Arabidopsis thaliana: one gene and its partners. The protein of the gene in region 3 interacts with the protein of the main gene of each other region in a pairwise test. Each region holds a gene or a part of one and is shown on either strand. Other genes may lie near its edges.

The links.
Region 1: the proteins of AT4G35610 (region 3) and AT5G65320 interact in a two-hybrid assay, tested with the Arabidopsis thaliana proteins (one large-scale study listed by BioGRID).
Region 2: the proteins of AT4G35610 (region 3) and MBD4 interact in a two-hybrid assay, tested with the Arabidopsis thaliana proteins (one large-scale study listed by BioGRID).

What each region holds. Positions count from the first base shown.
Region 1 is NC_003076.8:26,106,558-26,110,737, forward strand, and holds AT5G65320 (basic helix-loop-helix (bHLH) DNA-binding superfamily protein), read right to left. Parts: upstream 2,170-4,180; 5' UTR 2,084-2,169; coding exon 1,685-2,083; intron 1,461-1,684; coding exon 1,059-1,460; coding exon of another isoform or gene 1,029-1,058; exon of another isoform or gene 1,021-1,028; intron 901-1,020; coding exon 811-900; 3' UTR 612-810; downstream 1-611. Other genes in the region: AGL78 (AGAMOUS-like 78), read left to right, coding at 3,769-4,180.
Region 2 is NC_003074.8:23,293,186-23,297,136, reverse strand, and holds MBD4 (methyl-CPG-binding domain 4), read right to left. Parts: upstream 1,853-3,951; 5' UTR 1,744-1,852; coding exon 1,696-1,743; intron 1,225-1,695; coding exon 712-1,224; 3' UTR 511-711; downstream 1-510. Other genes in the region: AT3G63040 (uncharacterized protein), read left to right, coding at 1-491; AT3G63020 (hypothetical protein (DUF3049)), read right to left, coding at 2,098-2,712. UniProt on the Arabidopsis thaliana protein: Transcriptional regulator that binds CpG, CpNpN and CpNpG (N is A, T, or C) islands in promoters regardless the DNA methylation status. Plays probably a role in gene silencing.
Region 3 is NC_003075.7:16,898,725-16,902,163, forward strand, and holds AT4G35610 (zinc finger (C2H2 type) family protein), read right to left. Parts: upstream 1,545-3,439; 5' UTR 1,502-1,544; coding exon 686-1,501; 3' UTR 532-685; downstream 1-531. Other genes in the region: CYCB2;2 (Cyclin B2;2), read left to right, coding at 3,020-3,083, 3,175-3,310, 3,395-3,439.

The DNA of each region.
Region 1 (4,180 bases), on a different chromosome or scaffold from region 3:
AAATATGTAGCTAAACAGGTAAAAAGGTCACATTACCAAACACCTTTATCCAATGCTTTTTAAAAATCCACCAAATATTATTACTCAAAAACATGTGTCAAATTTAAACCATAATATCACACATCAACAACACTACCATAAACTTTTATCAAACTATTATGCTACATGATTTCTTATGAAATTTTGATTTCAAAATGACATTTACCCCATCCGAATAATGTAAACTAGAGAAATTTTGTAAGTTGGGCCGCTCAATGAAGGCATGCTTTTTCAGATGTTTCGGTCACCGATACTAGCGTTTAATTGTAGACGAGGCTCGTTCGTATTTCGTAATCTACACGAGCTTTCAGTAATCTCGAGGAACAATGATCCGGTTATGCAAAATTGAATCGCATCCGCGTCCGGTTTTACTGATCTAAATACGAGATATGTTTCAAAGGCCCATTTCTTGTAATGAGAAGGCCCATCGTGTGAATCTTATTATATTGCGCTTAAAATTAGCTCTTCCATAATATTAAATATCTGATGTTTCTTGAATATAACCAAATTTTACTAGTGTATAAAAGAATACACAAATATTTTTTTAAAACTCAACTGATTACATATACTCATCAATTCATCATGCTTGTATTTTATATCCTCAATTTAATAGACGTCAACACAATGTTATTAACTCAGTAAACCAACAAAAAAAAAAAAAAAACTAAACAACTTTAATGTTAATTAATTGTATATATGTAAATTACACACATAAGAGATTGTTTATACAATAAAATAGAATTTCAAAGTTAGCTAGTATGTAAACAAAATTCAACGTTCCTTGTGAACTCTTCTAACGACTTCATGCACCGTATTTGCGACCTCATTACCAGAAGGCGTCAATTGACAATCTGCCTCTACCTAATACAGAGACCAATCATTTTGAGCATATATAGTTGACTTTTAAAACAAGAAGCCTTATTTTAGTTATTTCATATAAATTTATGTTAACTAACAACTTCTATAATCATATATATTATCTTTTTCCCCTAAAACAAGAGAGGAAGAGAATAGATTACCTTGACGCTAAAAGTGAAGAGAGACATGTCTTTGGAAGTTGTGAGGTTGAGATGAAGAGTACTTAAACCTAAAGAGTTAAACTCATTGATAATCTTGAAGAGCAATCTTGGCTGTGTCTTCGTTAACACTTTAATGTTGGCATGTCTTTCTACCATTGTAACCTCCACGTCAGCAACCACCTCTAGTCGCTTGTGATGGTGGTGGCTCGAGGAGGATGAGGAGGCAGTGGCGGTGGCAGTGGCAGTGGCGGTGGAGTATTGAGGGAACATGAAGAAGTCGGAAAATATATTTGGTGATTGATTGAGTTTAGTAGCTTTTAATTGGGCTTCGAGAGATTGGAGACGTTGTTCTAGCTTCTTCAGATAGCTAATGGTCCCTTCTATGATTGATGCTTGGTCATTCTATTATAGGAAAAACCCAAAAATTTATCAATTCGCAATTTTATTTAGTAATTGATTCAAAAACAAATATACTAAATTACTATTATTTAATTAACGGCTTACTTTTAATAAGGAACCTTAACACTCTTTGTCTAAACTAAATTTTAACCGAACATATCAAATTATCAACATTGCTTAGCCTGCTTATATCCTATAAGCTAAATTAAAGATAGAAAGAAACTCACAGGTTGAGAATAAGAGAGAGGCATCATAGACTTGAGGATAGACAGAAAATGATTCATCTGTTTTCTCCGGTTACGCTCGACGGCAATGTGATTCATCCTTTGATTCTCTTTATCTACAATCGTTTTTTCACTTCTCCTTCTCCTCTTCCGCGACAGAAAGTCACCGCAACCATATCTTTCTCGTAGAGGAGATAACTTTTCAGTTAAGTGAGATTTTTGCTCTGTTATGGAGCAGGAGAGTGTCGCTGATGAATAAGAAGAGGACGAAATGGAATTTTGCTGTGACGCCACGTCTTCAGAGTTCGAAACGACGATGTTTTGAAAGTAATCCAACATTTCGTAACTTAAGGATGTTTCCACGAGTGAAAAGCCATGAGGGTAATCTTGTTGGAACATCATATATAGCCTCTCTCTCTCTCAACCAAACGAGCACAAAAAGAAATGAAGGAGTTAATGCATAAAAGTTAATGGCTACGTTATCTTTTACACAAAGTAATGTTTATGCGTGTATTTATAATGGGGTCTTGTTGGTTTGTTTTAATTTATTAATCTTTGGAGGACTTTAATAATCAAATTTTCACGACGTTTATGTAAGAAATGAAGCCCTAGCTCTGAAGAGATCAACCATTTGATTAATTTTAACCCGATTTTACGCAATAAATTAAGAAACGAATGCAATAAATTCTTAATACTAAGATCAACAATTAGTTTATAACTTTATATTTTACCCGATTTTACGCTTTATATATCGTCATGAAATCTCTCATGTTTGACTAAGGGGTATTTTTTATACCATGGACTTTTTGCTCAAAACCTCAGTTACAAATAGAAATAAAAACTCTTACAATTGATGGAAAACAATCTATAGGGAGTTTATTTATTTATTGACTGCAATCAAATATACTATCAAATAAAGAAAATTGGATTATGAAATGAATCTAAAGGGATACTTCAGCAACAGATCCCACATAACATAATCCAATAAGAACGTTCAGAGATATACACAACAAATAAGAATGTTAACTTTCATGATCGCAAAACAAATCTTAATACTTTACCATTCAAGTAATATATTTAATGAGGCATAAACAATTTATATTTCTTTGTGATTGCCAATCACAATGTCGTTTTATATGATTGGTACATTTCATCTAACAAAGAAACGAGTCTATTTGTGAGTTGAAAATTCGTGATTTGTGGTTCACTATTGGATCGTCGTTATCAATCTGACATTAATTGTACCCTATTATATATATTGTTGTGTCTATAATAAGGCAAGCTGGTTACTACATTTGTCGACTTCCACATTCCCAATTATTGTGTATTTTCTTGACTAGCTAATACATATATAACAAGAATTAATCTTCCACAATATGAATTGTGATGCGTTTACAGTGGTAATTTTGCAATAAACAGAGTGAGTATATATATACCCTTCGAACATTTAGTTTTAATTATTTGAAGAGTGTTTTTATGTTAGTTATTTTTCACAACATTCTGATTGGAGAAACAATTTATAGATTTTTGAAAACCCTTAATTAACAACTATAACGTAAAAAAAAATTTGAAAAAAAAAGAAAAAAAAAAAGATAGAAGAAACCTAGAAATAAAATGAGTTGAAATCTTTCTTCAATTTTTTGAAAACCCTTAATTAACAATTAAGAGTTTTTTTCTTAGAGACAGATTTTCCTTTTTCCTCCAAGTTTTTGTTGCACAATTAATAATTACACAATCAAATCTATAGTATTTTTTTAATTAGATCTTAATTTTGTACAGCCTAAAATAAAGTACCATCGAGAAACTAATTAAAAGTTTCCTTTTTTTTTGGTCTCTACCATCGAGACATTAATTAAGGAAATCTACATTAGATATTGGAAATCGAATCGAATCGTAGGAGCGTAGATCTTCACGCCTCGCGATTAACAACGACGCGTCGCGTTTGCTTGTTCCCGTAGGCACCAAGGCATCTATATAAACATATTGAGTTCACAATGTTTCACCCTCAATTCGACAATACTTCTTCTTCGTGTGTTCTCTCTCTCGGAAAAAACCCTAGTTTCTTGCCGAATCAAGGCAAAGTCACGATGAAGCAAGCTTCTTCTTCTTCTTCGTCACGTAATTCAACAAGTTTAACAAATAGACTTAAAACCATCTTCAAGAAAGCTGAAGAGCTTTCGATTCTCTGTGCTATTGAGGTTTGCGTCATCTATTACGGACCAGACGGTGAACTGAGAACATGGCCTAAGGAGAGAGAGACAGTGAAAGACATGGCTTTGAGGTATAAAGAGGCCAGAAAACGCAAGAAGAGCCGCAATCTTCATGAGTTCCTCGAGAAGGAGAAGGACAAGGACAAGGGGAAGACGAATTTGAAGAAGAATTGGTATCCAAACTTTGATCATTACTCTCCTCAACAACTCTCTCAATTGATTCAGTCCTTAGAACGGACTCTTTCTACTCTGCAAGAAAGGCTTCGTATTGTTGAGGCGCAGAAACTAC
Region 2 (3,951 bases), on a different chromosome or scaffold from region 3:
AAAGTGCAACAGTGTCAAGTGCAGTAGAAGATTTGGTGGTGGAACAGTGCAAGCACAACTGTAAACATGATATCCACAACAAGAAGAAAGAGTGTGAAGATAAGTGCAATGAACTGTTGATGATGGAGATAGAGAAAGAGACAAGTGGACGACAAGAAGAAGAACACAATCCCTTCTGTGAGGCATTTTGCAACCCCTTTGAAGGACTCTTTCAACATTGCATGGCCGTTTGCCCTCGCACCAAGTCCAAACCAGAGATGATGGTCATAGGAGGAGAAGGTGTTGCTAATGAGGGTTTGCAGACAAAATGCAACAGAAAATGCCTGTCTTACACCGAACCGGAGGCCTATAAAAAATGCATATCCGGATGCTTCATGTCCAACGAGGAAGTCTGTGAGACATCGTGCAGTATTCTTCAAGAGGAACCGCTCACTATAAGGTGCATGAGGATTTGCCATGAGAGAATTCCCGGAGTTGTAGCCTCTACTTAATGTTTTACGAGGGGACTTGTAAGGAATAAGTGTGTTTCTTTGGTGTAAGAATCCAAATTAAAAGAATATTTAACATTTGAGTTCCGGTTAAAGAAGAGACAAAAGATCATATTTTTTTGCTTAGAGATGTTAATATCATAACAGTTTTAGAGAACATCAAATCTATAAAGACTCAAAACGCATTGCTTTAGGGAGCAGAAAGAAGGTAGAAGAGAACATATTAGTTATGGCTCTGCTTGACACTGCTCTTCTCTGAAGTAGTGGTAGTAGTGCTTGGAAAAGGAGAGCCAAGCTTCGGATCAGGGGGAACAGTATCTTCCATGACCTTGGGGACAGTGAAATTGAAGTCTCCAAGTGGTGCGTTCCTGAATTCCGGATTGGCTTCAACGAAGGCAGCGATTTCATTGCGACTCCTGAGCTTCTTCCCGGTAGGAGTAAAGTAGTAGGTATCCATCTTAGAGTAATCTTTTCTGAGAACTAAGCTTCTCTTGAAACCTTTAGGCGTTTTGGGGAGACCAGGCTTGTCAATGACCCAAGTCCGAGAAGAATCGTAGTCAATATCAGCAGGCTCTTCACAAGACATGCCCTGTTTCTTCTGACAGTTAAAAGGATCCTCGAGCATTTTACTTCTGATATCTTCATATTCCTCCTGGCTATCAATCACCCTCCACTTGTGACAGTTATCGCACTGTGCAGCATAGGTATCAATCAACCTCCCAGGAGCAACATCTTTCTGCCATTAAGTCTCAGTGAAACAACCCCACACAAGACTTGTGAGCGTAGAAGAAATATATAATGTAAGGCAAGAATAAGGAGCGACACTACTCCAGCAAGCGTTAAAGAAAAGAACCAAGGCTTTCTTAGAGCAATAACTGAAAGCAACGACACATCACGAGACTGACTCAAAGTTTGCAAGACCAAAGATTTCAAAGTTAACTACCAACAATTTACTTCCAAGCACCAAAAAATCGTGAACCCCAAAACTGATAACCTAGAATTCTATGCCTTGTATAACTTCCTCCATCAATAGTAACTACTAATACGGGATCTGAGATCTCCAAAGACAGTAAGAACACGAAAAACGCATGCACTTTGACCGGAATTATAAGAAGGTTCGCATCTAACACAATAAAGAGAAGAAAAACGCAAAGAACGGAACCTAGAAAATGGAAAGCGAAATATATGTAAGTCATTGTGGGACTACCTTGGCTTTTGGTTTCGCTGGTTTTCCGATCTCCTCCTCTTCCTTCATCTCACTTACTTCCCCAGATTCTTTTTTAGTAAACTTTTTCTCCAAATCTTTGTGTCCCCCAAAAGTAAAACTCTCTCAAATAAGTCTTCCTGCGAACAGTGTGATAACCGCACAGCCTGTGCTTTAATGTATCACTGTGACGGACAAATCATAAATTAACACGTCGGCTTGAGCGAATTATTTGGGCTTCAGGCCCAGGTTTGTTTTGCAACAAAATATTATTATGGGCCTAATATTCATAAGTAAAGCCCATAATTCCCTTTTCTTATCTTGTTTCTAACGGATCATCGGACTACAATGTCGTTTTTTCCCCCCGGAAAATTAGCTGAAAATATCAAAATTCTAAGAGGAAGATCAGTGATTCTGTTTATCTTCATTATCATCTTCTACTACGTCGTTTTGTTGACTGATTCTCACTGTTCCGATTCTTAGTCCTTCTCTCCCACGAACACTAACGATCTCCGGTGAATCTACTGCCACGCTGGCAATCTCTAACCGTCCTTCGCTTCTCACTCTCCTGTGATGAAATCTCGGCCGTCCGTTACAATCCAGTGTCGTCAAAAATGGTGGCAGATCTCGCTTCCTCGTCACGCTTCTTCCTCTCCGCGGCGACGGCGCCTTTGATCTCGACTCCGTCAGCAGCGGCGGTCCATACGGTCCCCACGGCGATATCTTCCCTCCTAGATAGAAACTGTAACTGTTATTTTTCGAAGAACACGAGAAATATTCGTCAAGAATAACTCCACACACACCTCTATGTTCCCTGCACTCGTCGTCGGGATTCTCGTGGTCTGATTTTATCTCTAGAGATCTGCTCACGGATAAGCTTTGAAGAGGTTCGCCGCCGGAATCAACAGGAGTGCTCCAGCGCCGTCGATGGGAATGCGTAGGCGTGTCTTCCTCTGCCATTGACGACGTGCGGTGTTCTTCATCTATATCTCCGGTGAGAATCGTAGAGGATGACGTCATGATTAACATAACCGCTCGTCCTTCCCTGTTCTCTACTCTCTACGATCGCAACTCTGCATCATTTTTTGGGCCTTAAACGAGATTTAATGATTTATAGTATTTGGTGGGGCCTCTGCGAGAGGTTTTGCCAGCGTGGCAAACAGATCAGGATTTACTCATTTAACGGGCTTTTGTAAACCATGACACCTTGTAAGTAAATTGGTCCGCATGGTCAAATTAAACCTTGTCTTGGAAAAATCTTTTCACCTGTAAAATATTAATCTCACCGTCCTTTTTCTGGTGGCAGTAATTGTGAACAAAATCTTAAATCATATTAACTTTAATTTTTGGGAAATACGCATGCAGCACATCGAATGATTTTTAAAAATATTACATGAATTTTTCTACGAAAATTTTGAAACTAGTTTCTAAACATTACTACAGTATTAACTAATGGCTGCAATTGAGAGGGTGAAAACATTGAATTGGGTCATTCCCCATCAGTTTTAAAAAACTATAAAGTTAATTGGGTCGTAATTGCATAAAACGTTATTTCTTTCCCGGAAATAATACTCAGTTCATTAATTTGATGGGCTTATAGAACGATATTCTAAAGCCCATTATACGGGCCACAAGAATCTTTTGAGACACTCGACAAATGGCAATCGCTAAAAGCAAACCCAAAATGTTTTAACGATATGTGATAACTCCTGAGCCATGCATGCTAATTTTGCTATGTCATTTTGTAAGAAAACACGTTACTACAAGTTGTCTTTGTTTAGACCGTTAAACGGCATGCAGTCTATTATTCTGGACTAACTCCATGTGAATGAAAACATACATATGATGACGAGTTGATGATGAATGCGAAAGTGATAAGAGAGCGATGATGTTTAATGGTCTTTAGGGTTTGAGATATTCGAGATGAATAAGGTTCGTGTCTGAATCTCTAGGGGTTTAGGTTAATAGGCTAATAAAGACAAAAGCATCGTTGTTCAATGCTTTTGTCTCTTCTTTACTTTTCTTCTCTTTCGTTTTCTTTTTCTATTTTTCTTCCATTTCTATGAATCTCTGCACATCTAATACACTTTCCATTCGGAGTAGCTCTACTCTTTAACTTCTTCCCATATTTTATAGTCTCGTTATTTCCCCTTTACCTCTTTGATTTTCTCTTCTATGATCAGGTTATTTTGTTGTCAAGTGTGGATTGGATTTATTTTCTTAATTTGGTAATATTTTATTTTTCTTATGTTCTAGTAT
Region 3 (3,439 bases):
GGTATCTTTTTTTTCCGGCGGTATGAAATGATTTTAGAGTCTTTATTGTTTCATTCTCTTTGAATTAATTCTTGAAAGGTTTTGTGTATAATACTGTTTCTTTTGTAATTCTAGATAAATATTTTCATTCTATATATATTTTTTTAAAGTCTATGTTTACAGAGTTGATATTGGTAAAAAGTTTGAGAAAGTTTCATACAAAAAGAGGATAATGATGTCGTTTTTCAAAGATTGGTGAACATTTGATGGCTCTGAGAAGAATATTTTATTGCCAATTGCTATTTTCAGATTTAATTATAGTGGGATTTGGACAAAGTATTATCTTCATTTCAATCATTTAGATCCTGACAAAGGTTTCCTTTTATGATCTTACACATTCATTTTTCCTCTGCATTATTTGCATGCACTGGAAGTTGTATGTTTTTTGTTTACTATTCATTTTGATGTTGAATATTTATATAAATTTATTTGTACTTTTTCACATTGTTGCAGATTAAAATGGTGTTAAGAAATAAAAGTTAATATTAGGTCCTTTAACAAGATCTTCCTTTTCTTCATTGTTGCAAAACATTACTAATTCAAAGAATCAACATAATGTGTTAGATAAATATATCAAATATGAAATATGAAAATAATAACTATACTATGTGTTATAGTAAATTATTAAATAGTATGAAAAAATCTTTCACTTGGGTTTGTCCTCTTCCTCTTCATCTTTTGGTGGAGATTTATTAAGATCGAACTTGGCAATACATCCAGATTCAGTCGCTTCCTCTACTTGCTCCACAGGTTCCACATTCAAATCAATACCTGAACCTCTCCCACCTTCAGATCCTGGCGCATCACCACCACCACTGCCAGAAAAATCACCGGAACTTCTTCCTCCTACCGCTACACCACCAGAACTTCCTCCTCCGACAGTGGCAATAGTAAAAGCAGATCTTAGCCCGGGAATCACAAACCTTTCAGCCCCCGCAGAGAATGTAGGAGGAGGAAGAAACCCTTGATAGTTTCTATCTCTATGAGCCCTCATATGCCCAAACACTGCCTTCCACGAACCGAAACCTCTTCCACAGATATGACAAACCGGTGGTCCTTTCGGTGGATGAGTCAATTCCTTTGCTTTCTTCTTCGGCTTTTTCGCTTCTCCTTCACCCAAACCATCCCCTTCGTCATCGGTTTGCGTAGATATCCTTGGTCTACTCTTTTTCTTCCCACCACTCCCACTTCCCTCATTCATTCCTTTCATAACCGCTTCCTCTGCCGCAGCCAAAATCAACCCCGCCGCAAGAACCGCTTGCTCATTCAAACGCGCTTTTTCTGCATCTTCCTCAACGACACTACTACTCTCTCCAAATATTCTACTGCTGATATTCAAAGCAGGGAGGCCGAGAACAATTTCTCTCATATTGGTTTCTTCATCGCTCCATTGCTCATCAGATTCCTCTTTCTCTTCCTCAGTAACATCCACTTTCGTTTTCTCTGGGTTCGGATTACTCATACTATTTTCGCACTTTAGTCTAGGGATTGATGTTTCAAAACGACATTGAATTAGCCCTTATATAAAGTTTTCTCTGAACCATGGCGGTTATGACAGTTAATTCCTCTCCCGCCTTTTCGTTTGAAGATTTGCATCCGTCGTTTGTGATTGGTCCGTCCTAAACTCTGATATTACGTAAATTTGGGCTTAATATCGTATAAAGCCCATTACTAGCCCATAAGTTATTCGTACTTGGTAGGTTGGTTCAAGAGTTTTTCTTGTTTTCTGTTTGTAATCGTTTCTCGTGCGTTTTTGGTCATCGAGATTGCAAGAGTCGTTGCAACTGCACTAATACTATTATGCATGTGACATCCGACAATGACGTGACTTGTAAACTTTTGTTTTGACATATTTTTTCTTTATTTATTATTACAATAACATTATCATTTTTTTTTTTTGGGTGGAAACATTATCATTTTTATTAGCCATTCTTTATTTATTCTATATGTTTTTACTATTTAAAATTTAAACATTGATGTATACCGGTAAACATAGTTTTCAATGTCAGAAGGAAGCTCTTGAAGCTATGTAATAAATCACAAATACAACAAATTGCAACACCAAAAAAAACTAATGTAACCATTGATGTGTGATATATGATATAGCGAAGCCGCAACTGTCTTAAATATTATTTTGAATAATATCTACACACTAGACTCTAACTAAACGTTTAACAGTTTTCTAAAAATGCAGATATAAAAAGTTATCTAAAATATTTCACATATTTGAATAAGAAATTAGAAACACAATCACCTTTTGACCATTCTAAGGAAATTCAATTACAATAACTATGACCAGAATCATCTAGCCTAATTTTTGATATTCTCTAAATTAAATATTTTTAAAAAGCTTGACCAAAAAAAAAGAAATGGCAAGAACACTTACTACAGAGTCAGCATAATTCTCGGTAACAATAATTCTTAGGAAAGAGAGCAATTCTTAGCTCTGTAGTAAAACACAGATTAATAAGCTAAGATTAAGATTAAAGAATCAATATGTTGACTTTAAGATCTTAGAGCCGCGCCTTACGGAGGCTCTGGCTAGTGGTAACGAGCCTTCTTTGTCTGAAAAAGGCAACAAAAAAAACACAAAAAAGGAATAATAAATTTGAAATGAGAAAGAGAGAGCCACCACACACACCACATGGCCAAAAAAGTTACCGTTGGGTTTAGACAGACTTAGAAACAAATCGTTTCCTTCATGATCCAACGGTCATCTTAATCACCTAGCCGTTGCTATTTCCTTCAATAATAAAAAAAAATAAAATAAAAAAAGGTAGCAACTTTAATTTTAATTGATTTGATTTAATTTCTCTCTCTCGCTTATTTCATCCCCTTCTCTGACTCCTACTGATTCATTCAATTGCATCAGACGTATACACAGAGTCACAGAGAGAAGAGAGATCCTTCTTCGTTTGATGCTCTTCTTCTTCTTCTAGATTCTTCTCCAGGAGCACTATCAAATCGAGTAAAATAAACAATGGTTAATCCAGAGGAGAACAATCGTAATCTCGTTGTCAAACCCATTACAGAGATTCTTCAAGGTAGTAGTAGTAAAACGCCTTTGAAAAATCTGAGAATTATAGGTCTGACGAACAGAGAGTCTGATGTTGTTTTGTTTCTGGGTTTTGTCAGATGATGATAAGAGAAGCAGAAAATTCGGTGTAGAGATGAAGAGACAGAACAGGAGAGCATTGGGTGTGATTAATCACAATCTCGTTGGTGCAAAAGCTTATCCTTGTGTTGTTAACAAGAGAAGAGGCTTATCTCAGTAATATACTTAACTCTCTCGAATCCTAAAGTTTGTCTCTTTGATTCTTGGTTTTGGGATTTTGATGATTATTTTCTTCAATAGGAGAAAACAAGAAAGCTGTGACAAGAAGAAGCTTGATTCATTGCA